Linked DNA regions of Nothobranchius furzeri. The protein of the gene in region 4 interacts with the protein of the main gene of each other region in a pairwise test. Links are inferred from orthologs where the notes say so. Each region holds a gene or a part of one and is shown on either strand. Other genes may lie near its edges.

Region 1 (4,291 bases), on a different chromosome or scaffold from region 4:
TTTCAGGAACTCGATCAGCAACAGCAGCGGGCTGCCCAGGATGTGCCTGCTTTAAATCGGCCGGTGCTGACTGGTATCAGCCGGGTCCCGAGTCTACACCGGAGCGCAGATACTTTTAGGAATTTAAAGGATTAAGTTTTATTTATTTGTTTTTTAGATATTTCTTTATCCATAATTCCGCTTTTATTTGTTTATTTTTTCCATGTTCCCGTTTTTATTTTAAATCATCCTAAAACGCAGCCGGAGTACAAACCTCTGTTGTGTTTTACACAGCGGAGCATAAAACACGAGTGCTGCAGCAGCATGTAATTAGAACCGGGAAGCGGCCCGGCCCGGTCCGGGTTCTGCTGCTCCAACGGTGCGGTGTAAACTTTTATCTGGGTTTGTGTTTTTCCTCTTTATCCAAGAACAACATGAATAAATTTATTATGCGTCCACCTGCAGCCTCCCACTCCCACAAATCTACTGGTCCGGCACAAACTGCGGAGCCTCTAGTCACCTTGAGATTCCTTCTGCTGTTTTCCAATTAAAAGCTTAATAGTCCCGCAGACGGGATCCAGGCGGGAAGTTTACCGGCTCCTATTCAGCAGAAGCCACACCGCGCCGCTCCGATCCCATTATTTGCTTGAATAAACCTTTTTTACGGTCAGAAATGAGCCCCGGCTTTGTCCGGTGTTATGTTTCAATGCCCTCTATTAGTCCGGCAGAGGGGACTCGTCAGCGGGCTCCACACGGGCCCCAGAGGGGCCCTCAGACCCACAGAGAGCTAATCAGGCATCAGCGTTTAGTCTTTAGCTGCAGAGATCGGATCTTTACAGGTGATGGCTTTAACCTTTGACCTTTGAAAGAGCAGATTTTAGACCCCTCATCTGAAACTGAGATGAAACATGGTTGGATTAAACTTTAAATATGTATTATTATTATTATTGTTGTAGTTAATAAAAAAATAATAATGTTATTAATATTTATATTTATTAGCTTATCATTAATGTCGGTGTTGGGGACATAATAAAATAATTAGGGAGAAAAGTTTTTATGGACATCAAAGGGTTAAATAATCTCTCATTTTTGGGCTAAATCATCAAAAATATTTATGATTTATTTAATAATAAAAACATTTCCGGTTTTAGTTTTTTTACATTTTCTTATTTTAGGTAAAATTATTTGTTTCCAGTTTTTATTTAGTTGATTTTTAGTTTTTTTGTTGTTGTTTTTTTGGTGAAATTTCACAAACTTTCTGTTTCAGACAAACAATTAACGTCTGATGTAAGGTTGTTTGTTCCCGTTAACCGGATCTCAGACCGGAAACGGGGCGCGAGCCCCCTTTTTTTCTGCCTCGCGCTGACACCTTTTGCAGCGCGTTGACGCGTTTGGTTACTCGTCTCCAGAGGAGCGTGTCCGCCGGATCCTTATCAGCTGGACCCTCCACCCCAAGCCAACACCTCCTCCTGTCATGCGTGCAGCAGCGGAGCTCCATCCTGCTCCTCCGCGTGTCTGAGCTCCTCCTCACATGTTCTGCGTCCTCCCGGAGAACTCGCTGCGACCCACAGGATGAACGGCTACGGGTCCCCCTACCTCTACATGGGGGCCCCGGTGTCCCAGCCCCGGGCCCCGCTGCAGAGGACCCCCAAGTGCGCGCGCTGCCGGAACCACGGCGTGCTCTCGTGGCTCAAAGGTCACAAGCGCTACTGTCGCTTCAAGGACTGCACCTGCGAGAAGTGCATCCTGATCATCGAGCGGCAGCGCGTGATGGCGGCGCAGGTGGCGCTGCGGAGGCAGCAGGCCAACGAGAGCCTGGAGAGCCTCATCCCGGAGTCCCTCAGAGTGCTGCCCGGCATGGGCATGAGCGGGGCAGGCGAGGCGAGCCAGGGGGCCCCGCCGAGGACAGAGGAGCTGGAGCTGCGGTGGAGCGGCTCGGAACCGCTGCAGGCCGGAGCGCAAACACGCACAGGTAGGAGAGGCAGAACCGAACCGAACCGAAAGGTTCGTTCAGACCGGAACGAGTCCGAACTGCAGAATTTTAGTCTGTAACTGAAACATCAGAGTTTACATACGTTTTTGTTCAAGGATCAAACTTTTATAGAATAAACAGATGATTGTCTGCAGCTTTTATTTATTAAAACATTTAAAATGTTAAAAAGACTAAACTATTATCTGGAATCGTGATGTAATCATCAACCCTTTGATGCATGAATTATGAAATCTTCAACCATGATTTTTAAACTATTTTTTCATTCATCTTTAGGTGTGAATGAAACAAATTTCAACAACATTTTATTTGTAACATTTAATAATGTACAAATAACATTACATTTCCACCTTAGTGGACAGCTTGCATTCTGAACATGTTGGCTTGCCCTACTGAAGTCCAAATGGAGGGGCTCAAATGCAACAAAGTCTTCAACAGCTGCTTAAACAAGTAAATACCAACCTGTCCACTGTAGTGGCCATTATGCATCAAAGGGTTCATTATGAATAAATCTGAACATTTTCAATAAACACGTTTAAAAAACAGTTGGTAAAAAACAAGTAAAGAATTTACTAAATTTGTTTTATTTCAGATCCTTTTCTTAATTTAATCATATTATTAGTTTTGGTTGTTTTTGATCAGAAATGTTTGTTTTGTGGGTAAAATGCCATTTTATGACATGTTTGTGAGTAAACATCCTCGAGTTTTATTAAAATTCCTTTTTTATTTTAGTTTTGGATTTATTTGTTTATTTAGATTTTTATTAAACAAATAAAATGTTTTATTTTTTTAGAATTTTTAAATTTTGTTTTTAATTCACCTTCTTCCTTTGAAAGTTCGTGAGTTTGGTTAAAACTCTGATTTGGACTCGACCTGCTGCAGAAGCGGACCGAATCCAGATAAATGGTACCGGAACACAGAACTTCAGTTAATTAATTTGCTAATTGGACAAAAAATATATATCTACTTGAGGTTCTGCAGATGAACAGAACCAAGACTGTGTGGTCCATTAAAGTCTAACCGAACTGGACCAGAACCATTGAGCTAAGTTCTGATGCTTGCGTTGCAGAGCCCGCGGAGGACGGTCCGGAGGAGGGCTCGGGAGGAGAGAACGGAGGCAGCTCTAGTGAGAAGGAGCAGGACCCGGTCAGCTCCCCTGAAGGATCCAAACCGAACTCCTGTTACACCCCCGAACCCTCAGAACCCGCCCCCCACCCAGAGGAGACCCGCTACAGCCTCTCCAAAGCCGGAGGCTCCGAGAAGGAGGTGAAGGCCGAGAGTCCCCAGAGGGTCCCCCCCGGAGAGCAGGTGGAGGGTCTCTGCGGGCCCGGGCCCTTCAGCCTCCGAACCAACAGGCCCCCCCTGGAGGTTCTGAAGAAGATCTTCCCGTCCCACAAGCCCCCGGTGCTGGAGCTCATCCTGCGGGGCTGTGGGGGGGACCTGGTGGGGGCCATCGAGGTGCTGCTGTCCAGCCGGAACCCCGATGGGAGCGCGCACGCGCACACGGATCCGCTCCCGGACGGCCTGGTTCTGCCCTCTAACGGACACCTGTTCGAACCCCTGGGCTCCTACCACCCGGTGTCCTCCTCCGCCAAGTGGTCCGTGGGCTCCGCCTTCCGGGTCCCGGACTCGCTCCGGTTCGCGTCGGATTCCTCCGTGCCCACCGGCCCGCTGGGCGTCCCGCTGCAGCACCCGTCCTTCCCGCAGCCCGCTCGGTACCCGCTGATGCTGCGGAACTCTCTGACCCGCAGCCAGACCAGCCCGTTCGTGCACAACGACGTGACCCTTTGGAACACGGTGGCCCTGCAGCACCAGTACCAGCTCCGGTCCACCCAGTACGTGTCTCCCTTCACACCGGCCGCCCCCGCCGGTTCCGGGACGTCCGTGTTCCGCGGCTCTCCGCTGGTCTCCTCCAGAACCTCCGAGGAGCAGCGCATCAGCATCCAGGAGGAGGCCTGCTCCCTGGGGCCCAAACCGGGCCTCTACTCCCCGGATGAGGAGTACGAGGAGCGCTCGGACTCCGCGGACTCCCGCATCCTGAACTCATCCACCTGAAACCTTCCGGGACCGAGCAGAACCGGAAATGGACCTGTGCGTGTTTTTCTGTGTGTCAAACAATCAGAACCAGGTCCGGGGGTGATGACGTCAGCCACCGGACCGCCTGCATGTTTTCACTGTGCATGTGGAATGAGCCAAAATAACCCGAAATGGACCGGAACCGATTGTTTTCATGTGTTGTTGAATAAATTATTGAGGGTTCGGCCTGGACGTGTTTGTGGTTCTGATGGGACTTTTTCCAGAAGCTTTTATGGGTTTTCTCCT
Region 2 (4,156 bases), on a different chromosome or scaffold from region 4:
CTTCAGGAGCTCATAAATCACTCCGTGGCATGAATGAGGCGGACATTAAAGAGAGCAATTGTGGCGTAATGTGCACAAATAAAAACCCCACTTACGTTTTCATGCGGGACTCCCCGATTCCTAAGCTAAAAGGGGCCGAGCTCTCTGCGTGCGTTTGGTAATAATTCATTTTTATGGCTTGTTTAACACGCGGCTCTGACTCGGAGACAGCAGCAGCAGCAGCTCAGGTTAAAGCTGCTCTTATTTAGCGTCGCTTCTCCACTCACACTGGTGGAATCTGTGATTTTTTTTATTTAAAGACAAGACTGGTTTGTGTGCGTTTCAAACCCCTCACTTCAATAAAGGGATTATGAACATTTTAGCACTCTTGCGCAGCTTTGATTGGATTTATGGGAACTCAATAATCCAGTTTAACTCAGAATCACTAAAAAACACCAGTTGAGATGAAAGCTGCAGTGATTTTTCAAAACGTGTCAAACTTAGCCGAAAGCAGAAAATCAGCTCTAACTTTGGCTGTGTGCGTGTGTGGGTGTGTGTGTGTGCGCGCGCGCGCGCGTGTGTTCAGATGAGGGGGTGGTAGGAGGAAGCAGGGGGCAGATGCTGCTCTCCTGCACTACGGGCCTGCATAACCAAATCATTCCGAGACAGCGCGCCTTTTCTGCGCCCCCGCGGCCACACAAAGAGCCGCGGAATCTCCGCGGGGCCCGGCTGGCCTCAAGCAGCAGAGACGCGATGGATCCTCCGCGCCCACTCACTACAGAGGCAGCTGCTGGAGAGGGGTGGGGGTGGAATGGAAACCAGTTCGTCTCTCTCTCTCTCTCTCTCTCTCTCTCTCTCTCTCTCTCTCTCTCTCTCTCTCTCTCTCTCTCTCTCTCTCTCTCTCTCTCTCTCTCTCTCTCTCTCTCTCTCTCTCTCTCTCTCTCCCTCCCTCTGCTATGTAGTTTGCAACAAGTCTTTGAACATTTTCACATCTAATTTTGTTTTTCTAACATCCTAAAACATTACATTTAAGACAAAGTAGAACTACATTTGACTAATGGAAAAAAGCTGCACATTTGAATGTTGCTAATATTTTACTGATACTGCTTGTTTGAGTACCAGTGAGACAACTTAGACGTTTGTAGGAAAAATAAATAGAGTGTAAAATCTGAATCACGCTTTTCTGAGCTGAATTAATCTACTTAATAACAGAAGCACGTTTATTTAAGTGCATGTCTATCTTCAGCCTGAGGGGGCGCTCATCCCTCCATCTGATCCTTCCCTTCGCCCTCCCTCCCTCCCTCTCCTCTATTCCTTCCTCGGTTAGAGGTTGGGCATCTGCTACAACCCCCTCACTCCCCTCCGCTCTCGCGCCTCCCGTGACCATTCGTTTTCCCAGCAGCTTTATTTGATGAACTTAACAGGATAATCAGCCCACTCGCACCTCGGGCTACATATGCGCATTAGCAGGCTTCGCATTATTATATCATTTGATCACCATACATGCATAATGAATACATGCGGGACTGGAACTCTGGTAGATGGCTGACCTATGACCCGAGAACGGAACAAAACATTAATATCACATCACCTTAATGGTTTTGTCTCCTAATCACGTTTGTGCGCTACTTCAGGCACATTTTAAACGTAATTTGAGCTTTTTGCGCATCCTTTTGCGGTGTTTTATGAATATATGACCGGATCATCTCTCCTCGTAACGTGAAATGCACAAACCTGCTCCTGCTGCGACCTTAAGAGGAAACGAAATTCTGCTGGAAGGTGGCTTGGTGCGATGGGATGGATGTATTTAACAGGGGAAACACGTCCTCTCCATCACATTGTAACAATATTTGCCCAGAAAATCCCTTAATGTTCCAGCGTGAAACATTTCACATCGGAATGGGACATTAATAGCCTAAAGATAGCCCGCGGCTGCAGCGAGCGCGCGCACTCTCAGCCATCCATCCTTCCTGGACAGAATGACACATGCGACACCAGGGCTTATACGCACGGAGACGCCAACACACGCGCGCACGCACACAGACTCACACTTCTCTGTTCTAAAAATACCTGAGGTCAGAGTGCAGAGCGGTCCACCTTGGATGACATCTCTCCTCAGTGTGAGATTGCGCAGCAGGGGGGTTAAAAGACACCGGGTTCACCGTCTCAGCAGCTCCTCGTGTGTCCCGGAGCTGTCCACCTCCGTCTGCCTCCCAGCCCATTGTTTGCTCGGCCAATACATTAGTGGCGACGCGCGTCACCTTGATCGACGAGCGCCTGGAATTTAAATAGCCCCTCAAACACCAATCTGTCACCGGCTAAAGGGACAAGGACCCTCACTGGCTGACCCGTGCCCACGTGACAGTGCCCGTTCATTGATATCCCCAGCACCCCCCTCCCTGCACTGATAGGGACAGAAAGGTAAAGGTTGGCACGGTCACTTTAGGGTGAGAGTGTGGAGAGATCAGAGGGGGAGAGGACAGTCTCCTGGTCCCAGACTAACGATGCTACAATGAGCAGCTTCCTAGATTACTCGGTGATGAGCGGTGAGGGTGGCTCATGTTCGATCAGGGCTTTCCACTCGGACCACGGGATTACAACTTTCCAGTCCTGCGGGGCTGCAATCAGCAGCTGCGGGGCGGATGAGCACTTCATGGCAAACAGGACTTCCCCTGACAGCATCCCTCACCAGCCGGCCTCTTACCAGCCTACTGCCACCTCTATGGGTCTCTCCTATGGGGCCCACCCGGCCTGTGGCTCTAACTATGGGCCCCAAAGTTTCTGCGCCACGTACAACCACTACACACTCAACCAGGAAGTAGACTCTGCACCTGCATTCCCCCAGTGCAGCCCTTTGATGTTTTCAGGTAACATCTCTTCCTCCATGGTGTCTCAGCATCGCCATGGCTACAGTGCTGCCACCTTGGGCCAGCTGCAGTATGCTGCTTATGGCGGGGGTCATGAACAGGCACCTTCTTATCCTGGGGCCTCCAACCCGCTGTCACCTCTGCATGCAGCTCACCTGGAAGCTTGCTGCTCACCTCTGTCAGAGAGCGCATCTTCTGCGCAGACTTTCGACTGGATGAAAGTCAAAAGAAATCCACCGAAAACAGGTGGGTGCAGAGCTGTACCAGCACGAGGGAGATAGGTGGGAATCTAGTCTGTTGCTATTATTGGTTTTAATTGGTTTTAATCGGTCAAGCAGACTGGAATCCACACAGGAGATGTTGACACTGCGAGCGCGTTGACGCGCAAACGCATTAAATGTCCATGTTTCCACTTCAAGCGTGCGCCCCTTTCTTTTAAAAGTTGGTTTAAAGACATTTGTCTTTAACTATAGAGTGTGTTTTATATGTAAAATAATTAGGTTTTCTTTGCCTGCTGCGTAAAAGTTGGTTCTTTTGGATAATCGCACAGTTTGTGCGTCCTTTGGGTGAGAAAATAAACTTGAATCCCTCTTCCTGTCCCCAGGTCGCTCCGGCGAGTACGGCTATGCGGGCCAGCCAAACATCGTCCGGACCAACTTCACCACCAAGCAGCTGACAGAGCTGGAAAAAGAATTCCACTTCAACAAATACCTGACCCGGGCGCGCCGAGTGGAGATTGCTGCTGCGCTGCAGCTGAATGAGACTCAGGTGAAGATTTGGTTTCAGAATCGGAGGATGAAGCAGAAAAAGCGCGAGAAAGAGGGGATGCTGCCGGCTAAGGTCCAGTCATCGCACCCGGAAGAAATAAATCAAGAGAAATTAGACGATGCCGCTTCTGAGAGGTCCGTCTCAGCGCCGTCCACGCCCTCTCCCAGCTCATCCACGGTGTCCTCCACTGGCACGGACACGTACACCTCTACCTGAGCAGCCTATCTGGGCCACACGGGCCTGTAAATACCAACGTTTAAATGTATCAAAACCAGAGTCTTTGTTCGTGAATGACATTGTGTGAACATTTATTAAAGTTAGTCCTCCATCCGGGAGCTTTTGGATCACCCTGGAGCTTTAGGTTTAAATTGTGCAATGTGTCTGCAAGAACATCTCTGTATCTTCAGATAAGTTTGATCTGTAACGTGAGCAAAAAAAGGCAGACACGAGTCTGCAAACGAAAACAAATGTAAAGTGGTGTATCCGGGTCATGGCGGGTATGCAGCGCAGGGTGCTGTTAAGTGAGCAACGCAATGACCTAG
Region 3 (4,233 bases), on a different chromosome or scaffold from region 4:
ATCTTGTTTTAGAGAGGCGCGAAAACAAAGTTCCAGGCAGGAGGGGTGTAATGGGAAAAAATTGGACTAGCTGTTAGCTCATCAATCTTGTAAGTTTTCAAACTAATAGTGTTCACTTAGTAAAGTTCACTTTATAACTTTAGTCCCCCCCAAAAAAAAGAACATTTGAAAAAAATTTACTTGGATGGTCTTAAATCTTAAAGTGTCCAAATTGTCTCGTTAATGGGGAGCTGGTGTTAGAAACTGGGCAGAACAGCTGCTAACGTGAGAGGAGCCGAGAAGGAGCCTGAAGGAGGTCTGATGGAGGCCCGCAACTCCTCTTTAATCCTTCTGTCTCAGAGCGGAGCTTTGCTTTGTGCGCAGCTCTTGGCTGCATTAAAAAAGAAAACGGGATCAAACAAATTTCACACTTTCTGTAAAGTTTCTGGTCAGAGGAAGCTGCGCACGTGAAGCTAAAGCTGGAATTATTGATCCAAAACGGATTCAAACGCTTCTAAGTAAATCAATGTTTTTATTCTAATAATGAAAACTCATAAAGGGTTTTGAATACTTTAATCTGCTCGGCCGCCTACCTGACCTACATCCTCTGCTCGGATACACACACTCACACATACACATACACACACACACTCACACATACAAACACACACGGAAAACATTAACCTAATTACCAGCTTTAATTGATTTCTATGATTTTTCGGAGCGTCGCTTTAACCTACATTATACACTTATTTTGTATTAAAATAAACTTTTGATCGGAGATTAAAAGTTAAATAAAATATTTTTGTCTGTTTAAGTAACTCAAAAACTGTTAACGGGTGTAATCTGAGCAACGTTAAAGATTCAGTAGCTAAAATAAAATAAAATGTAATATATGTGATTTAAATAAATAAATGTAGCTAAACATATGAGTCAGAATCCATATGGATTAGGAATGATTATTTCCTGTTTGGAGATGAAAACAATAAAAAGTAATTTTAAAATAAAGTTAAAAAATACTTTTTTCAGATATTCGACCTTCACTTATTATTATTATTATTATTATTATTATTATTATTTTCGATTAGATCTTTTTACCTTCTTCAAGTTGTGTTTTCATCTGCTACATTTATCAGTAATAACAATAATTATAATATTTAAATTGAAGCAACCGCTAAAATACAGAAATCAGGTTTCAAACATTTTGCAATCGAAAAACTGTTTTAAATCCTAATGAAATAAATGACGAAAATGAAAAAAAGTGGGAAATCGATGCCGAATAAAGCTGTGAAGACTCGGTCATACCGAAGATGCGGGAGGATGAAGAAGGTGACGGGGTGGGAGACTAGGGAGGGATGTGTGACGTCACGTTGGGGCTGTGCAGTAGAGAGCCAAAGAAGAAAACCAAGGCAACAACTCGGAGCTAACCAAAGCGCCGATCACCGAGGACGCAGCGTTTACGCACAGGCAACGCTAAACTGGATTTACTGGGACACCTGCATGGGACACCGTGAGGCGTTTTTACTTTTACTCTTTCGTCTGCTGGGAAACAACTGGTGAGAAAAACACGTGCGTGTGATTTTAGGCGATTGGAGACTTAACAGCTCAATTAGTAGCGTTTTTACGCACCGGGCTCACGAAGAGCTATAAATGCGACAATTCATGCCGCTGTGATCAGTGTAAACTGCGCGTGTTCCTATCTGGTTGGAGGTCAAAGAGGCAGGAGAGGATTAAGCTAAAATAACCGTTTTATAGAGAACACGCATCTGCGTTCAGATCAGCGCTGGTGATGGGAGATAGAGAGGACACGAACAGCAAATATATTCCTGCATCTGTGGATGCGCGTGCGTGCGTGCATATGTGTGTGTGGTGTTAGGGGCGAAAGTAAACTGTCTCTAGGTCAGTGATGTTACTGTTGGGCCCAAAACACGAGATGAATGAATGAATGAATGAATGAATGAATGAATGAATGATAGAAAAGCATTCAGTGGCAGGCTGTCAGGTGGAGCTGCTGCTCTGTAAATATTGGCTGATTTTCGCTTGGTTCCTTCAAAGTTGTTCTTTCACATTTCCTTGTAAAACCATGTTTGAGGATTGGAAAAATGACAAGAAATCAGCAGTGATACACCAGCGTGTTGGTTCAACTTAAAATGACATTAATAAATAAAGTTAATATGTTTTGTCCTCTGGTTTTGTTTTTCAGGTAACTGGAATGGAACTGAATTTGTCCAAGAATGTGATTTCCTGTGGGGACCCAGGTAAGAGGATGCTGCAGGTTTAAAATGTTTGTGAATTAGAGATTTCTCCATCTTTTACGCTCAAAAAGCTGCTTTGCTCAGGGAGCTATGAAATGTGGAACTGGGAGATGCAAATTAATTTTCTGTCCGGTTTTTTAAAAAACGAGAAAAAATACCCTCTTTTGGAATTATCTAGGAACTGTTTTATGTAAACATTGTCTTTAATTAAAATATTTTCAACTAACCAAACTTTAAGATTTCAGAGTTTAACAAAAACAATTAAAGATTAAAAAAACATTAACAAATGTAAACTCGTGCGCAATTTAAGAGGGTTTGGACATTTAAATTGTGTAATACGCTGGTATATTTTGTCAGTTTAGAAAAAAAATTCTAAAAAATGCAACAGTGCGTAAAATTGGAGTTGTCACCAAGAGAAGTACAGTTATTTTATTTTAATCATGATTGTAGAAACTTTAGAGAACGTTTAAATGATTTATAAGTAATTTATTGGGTTCATTGGGAATGCTGACATGTTTTTCTAAATTGAGAATGAGTTTTGCCAATTAGCAGCTGTTTTAATTACTCAGACTGTCTCTTTGTGGGTTTAGGCTGGTAGTCACACTGCGGGTCAAACAGGCCTTTTAGACCCGAGCAGGGAAAACATCACCAAGGCAATAATCTGCTCTGTCCTTCTCCAGTTACGCACCGTCTCCAGTTACATCTCCGCTGCCTTCCAGTTTTTTGCTGCTTTGTTTTCTCTTGCGCGCTCCCCTTTGCTGTGCGGAGAAATAAAACACAAATACTGTAATTTTATGTGATGAACAGCGTTCGCAGGGTTTATTTTGACTTCTTAGAGAGAAAAACATGAGTGTTTGCGCTGTCGCTGGCCTTTAACCTGTCCTGCCGGATGGAAAGACTTTTTAACTCATCCATCACACGCAAGTGCCCTCCAGAACGGAGAAGGACGCGGGCAGGGATGGAGGCTGGGTATTTAGATTAACACCATTTATCACACAGCCGTATGAAGCTCAGAGATCTCTGGAGCTGAGGTGGCGAGACTCCCAAGCGCAGTAAATCCCATAATACTCCAAAGCGGACCAGAGGGGTCGTTGGGTTTACGCAGATTTCAACTGATCTGCATAAATGTAGACTTCCAAAATTCTAACGTGCATGTATGTTGATGCAATTTTGGATTCTTCTTTAAATGAGAGGCCAGATGATGAAAATAACGCTGATTTCACGAAATGCCGCAAAATCTTGCGTGATTTATGATAATTAACATATATGAATTACTGACACATCTCCGTTTGTGCAACCTATCGCGTTTGATGAGTAGGATGTTGGATGAGACTGGACTGCATCCAATATATTTTTTAATTCGCCCAGTGCTTAATGGGGCATTTTTCTAAGGGACCAACATAGGCTGAACCTTATAATCATTTCGCATGCAAACAGTCGGTGATAATTACATCTATTATTGGTCACGTGACAATGCTGCGTCCAGATGAAGCTTTTGAGTTCCTGTGCAAAATACATCAGAGATGAAAAAACATTTACGCACAGACGCAGTGGTGTTTGTTTGCGTGCTGACACATCTTTATATACCAAACTATTTTAAATAAATAAATAAACCATCTTTAGTTTTAAACTTCCCAAACCACTGAAGTGAAATTCACCCTAAATTCCAAAATCACCAGATCTTATTTGAGAGTATTCCTCCGGCAGGCCAGCACAGGCCCTCAGATCGGATGCGTTCCTGTCACTAAAACACGCAGCGTGTGGAGAGGATGAAGAGCAGATGGCAAAAGCCAAGCGATTGCTGAGAGCTTTCACAATTGTTTGGTATAGGGCCTTCGGGGGTGTTTCCTGGTTGGACGGGGATCTTATGTCAGAAGTCAGTCATACAATGGTCGGCAGTGGCGCCGGAGACGCTGCGTGGTCCAGACTTGATTTTACCCGAACCAGCGCCCCGGTTAGGCAGCAGACGCACCAAACTAACCTCATTTATGTTTGCACC
Region 4 (4,088 bases):
CTGAAGGGAAGCTACTATTTAGATTTTTTTTAGATTTTATCCCATGTATTAAGGGGGAATTGGTACCTGGGTGTTTCTATTATTTCTGTGTATTTTTGGCCTCCTTTCTGTTTTCACTTTCGTTTTTATATTTGAATCTTTATTTTAATGTTGCTAGAATTGTTTTATTTTATTTTATAAATCGTTTTACAATTTTAAATTATTTAAAATGTGATAAATTTACCACGTTTGTGAATTTTATTTTGAAAGGCAAGACAAGACTACTTTATTTATAGAGCACATTTCAAACGCAAAGGCAGTTCAATGTGCTTTACAATTATCAGGACATAATGTGAAAACAACATAAAAACACAAATTGAAATACACACAGTTTAGAGCTAAAGGAGAAGACAACGTTACAAGGCAGGTTTCAGTGAAGATATATAAGAAACTATTCATTTAAAGGCTGGTCAGTACATTAGGGTTTTTGATTTAAACAACACTAGGGTTGGGGCAGATCTGAGTCACGGAGACGCTGATTCCATATGCGAGCAGCATAGTAACTAAATGCATCTCCACCATGTTTTGTTCTGACCTGAGGTTCTACCAGCTGACTGTTTATCTCCGAGCCCTGTTGGGTGTATATCCAGGAATGAGATCGGACATGTATTTTGGTCCCATGCCACTGATAAACTAGTAGGATCACTTTGAAGTCTATTCTGTAGTTTACTGGTAACCAGTGTAGAGAGTGATGTGCTCCGTTCTCTTAGTTCTTGTGAAGACTCTAGCAGCAGCATTCTGAACAAGCTGCAGTTGCTTCACAGCTTTTTGGGGAAGACCAGTTAGGAAAGGCGCTTTATAAAAGCCTTTGTTGTTGTTCTTCTTCTTTTAATTTTTTATTTGACTCTTAACATTTAGAGTAAACTTTCAAAATTTAGATTTAATTTTAATAACTTAGACATGAATGTATATATCTGGACTTGGTTGGATCTTATATGTTGTTTATTTTACTTATAATAATCTGATTGAATTCTAAACATTGGATTTTAACTGCTGTTTTACATTCGGCTCCCCATACCTGAACTTTTAGGAAGTAAATCATTATTGATGAGGAAATAATTTCCTTTTTTCTTATATTATATAATATACGGAATGCTATATATCTAAGTATTTGAATCTGTCCTTATAGTGGACTGATTGCAGCGCAGATGTTATTCCCTTGGTAATAATTTCCCTGTTCCTTCCTCCATGACGTGTTTGCGTCAGGATGACAGGAGGAATCAGCGCTTTGCGCTCCAGGATGGATCTTTAGATGGCGCTGTGAGTAAACAAGCCGCAGCTGCGCTCAGACCGAAGTCAGCTCCACTCCGAGGATCCAATCAACTCAACATCTTTGGTTTTCTGCTGCTGCTGAAATCCCAGAACATTTCCCAGCCTTATTAGAGGCTTCCTCCAGGACTGGGTCGTGAAACCTCCTCCTGCTGGTACCAGTGCACTTGTCCACCTGCTGTCTGTCTGCAGGAGCCAGGATTCCGCTGAAGTTGCTCCCAGCAGCAGCGGTAGCGCGCCGCGGACATCAGTCAGAAGTTGCGCGTCTCCACCTACATCCACCACCGCTTTCCACGCGATCATTCGCGCAAATGAGCGCGATGTTAGAGAGAACTGGCGCTGTGTTTGCGTGCGGAAAATGATTGCGGCCATCGGTGAGCTTTCCATGATGGTGAGGAGATGCCCTGTCACTTTCAAGCCGTTCAGGTGAGAGCGCCGCACATCTGCACGGACCAACCTGGTGCATTTTCGCTGAATCAAACTTTATTCCACCTTTGCATTTGCTGCATCTGTCTATAACTTGTGCGGAAAACCGACCTTAAGATCTGCAGATGCTGCAATTTCATATCAAATAATAATTTTAATCTCATTGTGCAAAAACTGCAGCAAGCATTGCAAAATGCATGAATTAAAAAAATGAATTCAGCCAATTCTGCATGCTCGGTCCACTTAATTTGGACAGAAACTCCAGGCTGATCCACAATTAAAGCTTTGCTTACTCAGCTCAAACGGTGTGAGCCAAGTAAACAGTCACCTCATCAAAGCGCTCAAGATGCTCCAAACTTGGGAGATTTGCATATTTAATAATCAGCCCTTCTGTCTCTAGCTGTACAATCATGGTGAGCAACCTGAGACTTGTTTTCCACCATTATCATTATCAGGCTGCAGCGAAGGATCATAAATAAAAACATGATAGAAGAATGTGTTTTAAACCCGAGTGTGACAGCCTGTCCTCCAGCTCCACTCAGCACGACTGCCTTCAGACGAGTCGAAGTGAGGAAAATCATTCCACAGCACTGGAGACATATTTACAGCGCAGCTTATGTTTGCAGCTTCCATTCGTCTGTGGATGAGTGCGTTTATTTTGGCTGTTTGCACCCACTGAGTACCGTGGAACGTAGAAACACGGTTCGTTTGAAATCAACTAAGCACATTCTGTCATTTGAGGAACTTGTCCATGCTTTATAAATCCTCCCCCATCCATATGGGCTTGAAATTACTACCCTATCTTTTGTTTTAGCTGCTTGTATTCCCTGAGCTCTAACCATGTAATTTGCCCCCTTTGAAGCTAATTTCTCCTTTTTCCTGCAGGATCTTTGTAGCGGGGGTTGGCTTCTTCAGCCTGTGCTTTCTAATGACCTCTCTCGGGGGCCAGTTCTTGGCCAAGCGACCCGGAGACTCGCCGTTCACCATGCGAGCTGAAGGTAAGTCTCACATGAGTGACTCCAGCGGATGTGTCCTGCACTGGTAATGAGCAGGCTGGAAACACGCTCAGAGATCCGTGGGGCTGGCTTGATTGCTGCCAGGGGACCCGCTCACCCCCTTCATCAGGAGAACTCGGAGGGGGAGAATCCTGTCTTCTCATCTGACCAAACTCTGACCCACATAGATTTATTTTTGGCAAAAATGAATCGCAGTTTTACGGAAAGTCAGATTGATCTTTAATAATCAAAAGGCGGCGATGAAGTGTTGGTCGTTTGAAACAAATTCAAATGCAGATTTCAGTATCAGACAACGATGAGCAAAGACAACACAAAAACTCATTTAGCGAAATAAATCTTGATGATCTCCTAAAGCGTTGAGGGAGAAGGTTTAGTGGAATAGAGAGTGAAAGTCTTATTTCCTGGGAGGTGTGTGTTTTATTACATTTCAAGTAAAACTAAAACAGCATTTCAGAAAAAGCATCACACCAGCAATCAGACATGCTGGTGGTCTGGGGCCGTTTCAGACCACTTGATGTAACCGATGAATTCATGACTTCTGCTCTTCACTGGAAAATTATGAAGGTCCAAGCCTGACCTTTGATCTTAAACATGCCGTTTGTGCTAGAAAACCCTTTATATGTAGAAATGTAGCCCGACCCAGACACAGAGCTCAGTTGTAGTGGAGGAATCCACAGTTGTCTTTCAGACTGTCTCCATGCGCAATCAAACATGTTGGGATTAATCGGAATGTCAGACATATGCACCACTACAGAAATCCGGCAACGGGACAATCCACCATAGCCTGGCCAGCCATGCCAATGCTTCCTTATGGAAAGCAAACATCCTCTGTGTAAAGTAGACAGGGCGAGTCTGGCAGGCCAGAAAAACATCCGACATTCAATTTAGAACCAAATATACGAGTGCCCCGGGTCAGACTTGGGAAACTCTTTATTTGAGCTTTTTTTTTTTTTAAACATACAGGCACACCTGTGGAAAACTCATCTGTTAGGTGGGATGGATCATCTTGGCAAAGGAGAAGTGCTCACTAACAGATTTGGACAGATTTTGGAAACTATTAGCACTTACACACTCACACTTATCAGCTCCACTCCGCTCCTCTCTGCCGCGTCCACCCTGGCCCGGCCGCGTTCCTTCCACACTGCCTTAGGAATGCAGACAAAATTGAGAACGTGGGCGGTCTTTGGTCTGTGATGTCATCAGCGCAACACTGAGCATGTGGGCGGGGCAAAGTCTGCGTTGTCTCCATAATCAAACAAAAGTGACCCGAGCTGTTTTGCTTTTGGAGACTCTCTAACTCTGATATTGCATGCTCTATCTGGCAGCAGTGTGTGTGTG

What was found.
Region 1: the proteins of alpha-1,6-mannosylglycoprotein 6-beta-N-acetylglucosaminyltransferase B (region 4) and dmrt3a interact in a two-hybrid assay, tested with the Homo sapiens proteins (2 studies listed by BioGRID). The two-hybrid records come from large-scale screens. The link is inferred for Nothobranchius furzeri from reciprocal best matches to the Homo sapiens genes MGAT5B and DMRT3.
Region 2: the proteins of alpha-1,6-mannosylglycoprotein 6-beta-N-acetylglucosaminyltransferase B (region 4) and hoxa1a interact in a two-hybrid assay, tested with the Homo sapiens proteins (2 studies listed by BioGRID). The two-hybrid records come from large-scale screens. The link is inferred for Nothobranchius furzeri from reciprocal best matches to the Homo sapiens genes MGAT5B and HOXA1.
Region 3: the proteins of alpha-1,6-mannosylglycoprotein 6-beta-N-acetylglucosaminyltransferase B (region 4) and pitx1 interact in a two-hybrid assay, tested with the Homo sapiens proteins (2 studies listed by BioGRID). The link is inferred for Nothobranchius furzeri from reciprocal best matches to the Homo sapiens genes MGAT5B and PITX1.

What each region holds. Positions count from the first base shown.
Region 1 is NC_091750.1:37,736,882-37,741,172, forward strand, and holds dmrt3a (doublesex- and mab-3-related transcription factor 3a), read left to right. Parts: upstream 1-1,434; 5' UTR 1,435-1,551; coding exon 1,552-1,983; intron 1,984-3,038; coding exon of another isoform or gene 3,039-3,061; coding exon 3,062-4,024; 3' UTR 4,025-4,150; downstream 4,151-4,291. UniProt on the Homo sapiens protein: Probable transcription factor that plays a role in configuring the spinal circuits controlling stride in vertebrates.
Region 2 is NC_091751.1:29,552,083-29,556,238, reverse strand, and holds the start of hoxa1a (homeobox protein Hox-A1a), read left to right. Parts: upstream 1-1,323; 5' UTR 1,324-2,491; coding exon 2,492-3,092; intron 3,093-3,450; coding exon 3,451-3,830; 3' UTR 3,831-4,156. UniProt on the Homo sapiens protein: Sequence-specific transcription factor. Regulates multiple developmental processes including brainstem, inner and outer ear, abducens nerve and cardiovascular development and morphogenesis as well as cognition and behavior.
Region 3 is NC_091750.1:54,396,669-54,400,901, forward strand, and holds the start of pitx1 (pituitary homeobox 1), read left to right. Parts: upstream 1-1,389; 5' UTR 1,390-1,535; intron 1,536-2,182; 5' UTR 2,183-2,191; coding exon 2,192-2,237; intron 2,238-4,233. UniProt on the Homo sapiens protein: Sequence-specific transcription factor that binds gene promoters and activates their transcription. May play a role in the development of anterior structures, and in particular, the brain and facies and in specifying the identity or structure of hindlimb.
Region 4 is NC_091752.1:49,892,017-49,896,104, forward strand, and holds the start of alpha-1,6-mannosylglycoprotein 6-beta-N-acetylglucosaminyltransferase B, read left to right. Parts: upstream 1-1,265; 5' UTR 1,266-1,666; coding exon 1,667-1,734; intron 1,735-2,619; coding exon 2,620-2,732; intron 2,733-4,088. UniProt on the Homo sapiens protein: Glycosyltransferase that acts on alpha-linked mannose of N-glycans and O-mannosyl glycans.